Mus musculus: one gene and its partner. The protein of the gene in region 1 binds, or shares a complex with, the protein of each later gene. Links are inferred from orthologs where the notes say so. Each region holds a gene or a part of one and is shown on either strand. Other genes may lie near its edges.

The links.
Region 2: Tubgcp2 (region 1) and Nme7 share a complex: the UniProt entries of both Homo sapiens proteins name them as parts of the gamma-tubulin ring complex. The link is inferred for Mus musculus from reciprocal best matches to the Homo sapiens genes TUBGCP2 and NME7.

Annotation. Positions count from the first base shown.
Region 1 is NC_000073.6:140,026,527-140,030,348, reverse strand, and holds part of Tubgcp2 (gamma-tubulin complex component 2), read left to right. Parts: intron 1-362; coding exon 363-522; intron 523-3,822. UniProt on the Homo sapiens protein: Component of the gamma-tubulin ring complex (gTuRC) which mediates microtubule nucleation.
Region 2 is NC_000067.6:164,331,554-164,335,375, reverse strand, and holds part of Nme7 (nucleoside diphosphate kinase 7), read right to left. Parts: intron 2,765-3,822; coding exon 2,598-2,764; intron 1-2,597. UniProt on the Homo sapiens protein: Possesses an intrinsic kinase activity. Displays 3'-5' exonuclease activity with a preference for single-stranded DNA. Does not seem to have nucleoside diphosphate kinase activity.

The DNA of each region.
Region 1 (3,822 bases):
GTTAGATGTAGCAACTGCTAAGAAAATTGATTCAGGCTCTTCCTACTTTGTGTCCTGATCTGAAACACTTTGGTAAAATGCAGGTACTTTCCCATGGCCCTCATAGCTGGTGCCCTGACACTGTGGGTTGTTCCTTATTGAACAGAGACCTTGAGAGGGCCTGGCTCTCTTGTTCTTAGGCCCAGATGTTGTAATGGGTAGTTAGCACCATGTCTCCTTTTTAAGTAAGATCGAATGTCCTATGTACTAAAATGATGGACTTTTTTTTTTTAATCCCAAAGACGTGTTAATTTCCATAGATATCTTGGTTTTATTTGCACTATAGTATATTTTGTTTTTGTTTTTTAAAATGTCCTTACTAGTCTCTGGAACTTACAAGAAAGATGCTTCGAGACAAACAGAACAAAAAAAATTCAGGCCAGCCCCTCCCTGTCTTCCCAGCATGGGTGTATGAGAGACCAACATTGGCTGGAGATTTCCTGATTGGCTCGGGCTTGAGCTCAGACACAGTTTTGCCTATAGGTATGTGGTGAATTTCTTCTCTGCTTGCCTGCATGTGCCTCAGCAGGCCGTGACACACTGAAGCCCAGAGGACTTGAATGCTTGTTCTTGCATTCCTCCTGCTGGAGCCTTAGGACAGCCGGAGCTGGCCTCCTGGGCTGTGCACCAGTGTGTGACACAAGGACCAGGAGGTCACACTTTCCTGAAAAGTGACTTGTCATTACCACAGACTGCATCAGGTTTTAGTGCTATGCTCACAAAGGCCTTAAAAGTTGCATCTGTTTGACAGCATTGCTGTTTCAGGGCAGGTTCTCAGGAACCTACTACATGCAACCCCAGAGAGTCTTTTAGGACCAAATGTGAACATTTGCACTGGCATAGCTTAGATGTGGTTTCCTGCCTGTTTGATGGTAGCCTCAGTTTAAGAGAATTGTGAAGTGGTGTGCCTTGCCCCAGCTCCTGAGCTCTGTACGGTGTTAGTGCAGAGGTCTACTGTCACCTTTAGAAATAACTTATAGGGCTATTAGACAAATTGAGGGTGTTCTCCTGTCCCCAAATATTATAGGGCTGTTAGACAAATTGTTTTCTCCTGTCACCAAGCAGACATGATTCTGCTGCAAGTTCATGGGAAGGTAGAGGCAGCTGTCTTTATGTCGTAGACTTGTTGTTTGCAGTGTTGGCAGGTACCTAGTTGTCACCTATCCTGTCACCTGGTAATTGTCTCCTTCCCTGTCTGTTCTCCTGTGGCCAGCATAATCAATCATCATCATTGGCAGAGCCTCAGCCTCAGCATAACCATCATCATTGGCAGAGCCTCAGCCTTAGACCTTACTTTCCTGCACCCTGTGGATGTAGCTGGTGCTCTGCATAGTGTGTGTCCCTCAGGACTCTTTCCCCGTGGATTTCCCCGTCCTTAGCTTCCCTCAGCATCACGAGCCATCATTTCTCCAGTTGTTCCAACTCTTCCCTTCCATCCGTTCATCCCAGGGAGCTCCCTGTCTTCTCCCATTGCCTCGGCTCCCTGCGATCAGTCCCAGATCTACCTCTTCCATCTCCACTTTCAAGTGTCCAGGTAAACTTTATGTCACCTAAGGCCATTCTGCTGAGGTACCTGCCACCTCCCTAGTGGCTTACTCACACCTGTAGTTGTTGAAAATTGAAATGCATTGAGCGTGCACAAGCAACCAGTCTTCTGTTTCATTACCTTAATCCCAGTGGCCATGGCTTCATGCAGGGGCATGGATCTTGACAACCTCATCTTTCCTCTCTTCCTGTAGTTTCCATACTTCCTGTAGACATAGCTAGAGCCCTCTTTCAGTACAGGACCTGAGTCTCAGGTAAGGCTGTCCAGTGACAGCCCTACTGTGCCCCTCATCCCCAACAAAACCCTGACAGTTTGCCCAGGCTGGCCTCTTCTACCCTTGAGCTCCATTTTCCACTCAGGCCCTGCATACCAGACAGAGAAGCCAGGTCTGCTACCTCAGGCATTTGCACCCTGTATTCCCCAGCCCCTTCAGAGCTCAACTAAAGATCTGGTGATAGTCACCCCTTCCTTGTCCTCCCTTGTCACACTTAATACACTGTAAGATGCTGGTTCAATTTTGTTTGGTATTTTTCCCTATACAGGCATGCTGATAAGAGGACAGGGCTAGCATCTGCTATGCACATGTGTTGTTTAGAAGCCAGAGAGTGACCCGTCCAGCAGGTCCAGTTATTCGAGGGTCTCAAGGGGACCTTCTCCTAATAACCAAATGGGGGGGTAGAGAGAGACGAGGGTCTTGTGCAAATAACGACACGGAAACCGTTCTGGATTGCATCAAGACCCCAATGTATTGTGAAAGGCCCAAGGCTTAAATGCACAAGCAAAAGGGGAAGTACAGATACTTATCAGCAGGAGGGGTGGGGCAATACAAGCAAAAGGAGAAGTACTTATCAGTGGGAGGGGGGCAATAGAAATTCTTTCTTTTGGCAGCTACAAGGGGAAGCAGGAACTTGGTGGTATCAGGGTGTGGTCAGGACATCGGTGATGACTTAGAGCTGGAACATCCTGTGGTTATTCTCGGAATCAATGCGTCGGTGGCCCACTTTTGACCCCCTTTTCTTCTCGGGGGGTGTAGTGGCTATTCCTGGTTGTCAACTTGACTATATTTGGAATGAACTACAATCCAGAATTGGAAGGCTCACCAGTGACCCTTATCTGGAGGCTTGGAGATCCTTATCTGGATCTTGGTTTGGAGATCTTGAGCCATCGTGGCTATGGATTCCAGAAGATTGAATCTCAGAGTTTAAGGAACACGCCTTTAATCTGGGCTACACCTTTCATCTGGGATTAAAGGTGTGGTGGAACACACCTTTAATCTGGGCTACACCTTCTGCTGGAGACAATATAAGGACATTGGAAGAAGGGAGTCTAGCTCTTGCTCTTGCTCCTTCGCCTGCTTGCTGCGTGAGACTGAGTAACTGCTAGATCCTTGGACTTCCATTCACAGCTGCGACTGAACCATTGTTGGAAATTGGGCTGCCGACTGTAAGTCATCAATAAATTCCTTTACTATCTAGAGACTGTCCATAAGTTCTGTGACTCTAGAGAACCCTGACTAATACAGAAGTTGGTACCAGGAGTGGTTCTAGAGTAACAGAAGTACAAGGATGAATCTTTTAAAATACTGGAATTGGCTTGTTGATCCACCAGCACTTTCAACTATTGAAACCTCTCCAGATTCTCTCCCTACTGGGAGCTCAGAGAATTTTGAAGACCCATGGTTGAAACTATATTCCGAACTTAAAGAAGCTAATGACCTTGATTTTCTTAACGAATTAGGTGATTCAGTGCACAAAGCTTTCTACAAGATGGGGAAAAAATCGGAAAATGATTTTACTGGCTGGCTGCTCTTAGTATCTGTGGAAAAAATGATGAATGAAAGGAAGGAGTTGTGTGATAAAATCGAAAGGCTCCAGACACAAGTAAACGATCTAAAAGTTGCTAAGTGTGTCCTTGAGGAGAATCTTCTCTCTTGTAGCAATAGAGCTCAAGTTGCAGAAAATCAAACAGAAACTCTCATTGTAAGGTTGGCTGAACTACAGCGAAAATTCAAGTCTCAGCCTCAGAGTGTGTCGACAGTTAAAGTAAGGGCTCTAATTGGCAAAGAATGGGATCCTACAACATGGGACGGGGATGTGTGGGAAGACCATGTTGAAGCTGAGAATTTTGAATCTTCAGATTCTCAAGGGTTTGCCCCACCTGAGGAAGTAGTACCCTCAGCCCCACCCCTTGAAATAATGCCTTCCCCACATGAGGAAATTAATTTTGCAGAGTCTGAT
Region 2 (3,822 bases), on another chromosome or scaffold:
TATCCTTAATGTTAAGTGCTACCCCAATAAGTACACAAGTAGAGATAATATCTTTCAAATACTCTATCCCTGAATAAAACACAAAGGAAAGAATTAAAATTTCATTACCAACATATTTAATCTATTCTCAGAAAGCTGCAACTCATAAATGTGGACAATGAAAAGTAAAATGCCATTTCATAGCAAGGGAAATCATTTTTCAGAAGAGAATCATTATTAAGTCCATTTTTGGTTTTGGTTTTTGGTTTTTCTTTAAAGCTTGCTTTTTAGCTGCATCTCCAATTGGTTCTGTTTCTTTCTAAACCAAAACTAAAGAAAATCAGGGTGGCAAGCAGTAAGGAAAGAATAATAAAAAGGTACATGTGGGGGTATCTGCATGTGTGCGAGAGAGTGTGCAGTGTGTGTGTGTGTGTGTGTGTGTGTGTGTGTGTGTGTGTGTGTGTGGTGCAGCTACTGGGAGGTCTTTAGGTCACAGCTTAGAAGGGCTGTTAGGACTGCAGACCCTTTTGTGCCCTGAGGTAAACAGCTTCCTCTACCACTCAATATCCTTCATAATGTGTTCTACTGCAGGGACCCAAAGCATTGAGCCAAAAAAGTCACGGAATGAAGGCTGCAAAACTCGGAGGTGAAATTAACCTTGCTCTTGCAATGCGTAAAGAGATTTGCTCAGGGATGCAGAAGACACGGAAATGAGTAAGACAGCAAGAGAAGAATCGTCCCCAGGTCCTATCCAGTCCCGAATTTCTGGGTTTTGGTATTTAAATTTATCTTAGTGGTTGCGCAGAGCAATGAGCTTCAGTGTTCCATTTTCATAATGTACCTCCTTGACCTTCACTCACAGACCGAGCTTACCCAGTCCCTTCCTCTGTCCCCTTTCAGATGAGGCTTCTGTCCCACCCTGCCCCAGGTCCTCCTGCAGGGATCTGCCCCAGTGGAGCAGTGCACTGCCCACTCCGTCCCACTGGGTTGTCCTTTTTGTTTGCCCACACATTATAGTTGACATAATTGTCTTTTAAAAATTTATTTTTAGCTAATATATAAAATAATGTGATTCATGGTGATATTTTTGTTATAGTCTGCTATTTTTCACACCCCACCGCCCTCCCTAATCCTGACTCACTTCTTGTTAGTCCCTTTCCCTTCACCCAGTAATCTGTTAGCTTTTATGACGTGTATATTTTATTACAATTTCTCACTCCCCAACTCCCCACTCTCTTTAAACTTCTTCCCTCCATGGTCCCCTTTCTATACTCTATCTATCTATCTATCTATCTATCTATCCATCCATCCATCAATCCACCCACCCACCTATCCATCTATCTATATTCCACATATTTAAAAAAAAAACCCACTTGATATCTTTCAGTAATCTGGCTTCTTTCACTTAATGTAATGATCTCCAGGTCTGTCCACTTCCTTGCAGATGTTAGAATTTCACTCTCTATAGCTGAATAAAATTCCCTGGAGCAAGCTACTTCTTGCTTTGTGATTTCTGATGTTCTGATCGCTCTCTCCTTGGGGCAGGGTCTATTCTCTGTTACCTTGCCTATCTCTTCTGTTAAATTGCCCTGAGGCAGCTTCTCATCATCATCTCACCCAAAGTTTCTAGAACTTCCATTCTTAACTTGAACTGTCTTTGATCTTTGTTATTTGGTTTTTTTGTTTTTTTGTTTTTTTGTCTTTTTTGTTTTTTTTGTTTTTTTGTTTTTTTTTTTTGAGACAGGGTCACATGTAACCCAAGCTGGCCCTTGACTCCCTCTGTAAACTAATATGATCTTGAACTTCTGATCTTTCTACCTCCACTTCCCACATGCTGGCATGACAGAAACGTGCCACCACCTCCAGTTTTACACGGGGCTAGGTCTCAGGCCTTTGGGCTTCATCTTTGCTAGACAAGCACTGCCCCAACTGAGCTGCTTCCTGGCATGCACTGCTGCATTTCTATTAATCACGTACACTCCTTACTTCTTCTGCATATCTACTGTTACCATAATAATTCAGATCATTGTTGTAGTAATTAAACTTTTATAAGTTTTAGCCCCCAACTTACACAAGCAGGATAGCAAATAGTTGTTCTAACTTAAGACAGGATTTCCCACCTTTGGATCTTTCTCTATACTCACTCCTTTGATTAGCATTTCTCCCCAGTTCATCTAATTGGGGTAATAATTTAATTCAGTTTTATCAAGACAGAACAAACCCACAAAGCCTTCAGTTTTGCAAGAACTAACTTCACCGTCTCCCGGGTTACCGTGATTCGTACCAGCATCATGCTTATGCTTAGGAAGAAAACCTTATGCTCAAATAGTCTTAGGTTTTAGTGACAAATATAAAAAGCAGATAGAATGTGTAAGAGCTTTATCTCTGCCACCCACCCATCCAAACAGTCACCTCCTAAGACTACAGATATTGCTTCAATATTCTAATTAGGAACCAATCCCTGAATCAGTACCAAAATATTTTTAATGTTATAAAATTATATTAGGTCGCTGGAAAAACTATGTTGTGAAAACATGACCGAGGAGAGGAAATCAGAAGTTAGTGGCCAAAGTCACAGGCAAGGTTTCAATGGAAAAAGATGGCCCGGCTGTTCTTACTTCTCTTTCCTGCTGCCCAGCTGGCGGGCTGTGTATTGGTCCCCATAGTCAATCAACACCAGCTGTCGAGAAAACACATTGACTTTGTTGCCTATAAATAGATCTTCCAGGCGCAGGTCCTCATACTTGGTCCGCTTTAAGAAGGTGCGACGATTCTTTACATCATGCTAGAAACAGACACAGTAAGAATACTTATGAAGAACGTACGCCTTACAGAGAAAAGTCTCCAATTGATTTTACAAAAGACAGCTATATCCTATTACTTTATAACTACGTATATAAATTATATTTTATACTGTGAAGCTTTATTTCCAATCCAATCTAGTGATAAAAGTTTGTAATTAAAATATATATTTTAGAATATCCTAAATAGACCAAGTTATTTCAGTAACTCACCAGCTATGAGTGACAGAGACAGATTCTCATATTTCTTTTTATGTACACATCCCAATCACTAAAAAAAATTGTATTTCCTTTAAGAGATGTGTATTCATGTGTGTCTCCCTTTCTGTGGGTAGGTACATGTGAGTGAAGGTGCAGAAGTCACTGTTGGCTTGCCAGCAGCTGGAGTTACAGTTGCTGTGAGCGGCTCGGTGTAGGTGCCGGGAACCAAACTTGGGACCTACAAGGGCAGCTAGCACCCTTAACTGAGCCTTCTCTCTAGGCTCCAACCCCAACTGAGCTGACTTTTTAAAGTGATTGCCAATGAAGTGATGCAAAGAAAGGGACCCTCTTAGAGCCTCTTTAATTTGACATTTTATACAGATACCAACTTTTAACCGTAATATTTATGACTATGATAACCATTTATCTGTAACTACTTATCAAATATTGATTAATCCCAAAAAACAGTTGTCCTACTTCATTTTGGGGTCTCTCTATATATCTACTTCTATATATGTGTGTTATATGCAAGTGTGCATCCCTACAAACATACATGATATAGGAGGTTGCCTGATGTCTTCTTCAGTCATTTCTCACATTATTGTCTTAACACAGGCTCTCTCACTGAACCTGAAGTTTGCTTTAAGTTGGGTCAGCTGGCCAGAGAGCTCCAGGGAGCTCCTGCCTCTGTTACTCAGGATTGGAGTTCTCACAGGGAACAAGGCCCAGCCATTATGTAGGTAGGTGCTTAAGAGTCAAGCTCAGGCCTTCACACTTTTGCAGCCAGTATTATTTCCAGCTAAGAGATCTCTCTAGGCCTGTTTGTTTGATTGGAGACAAG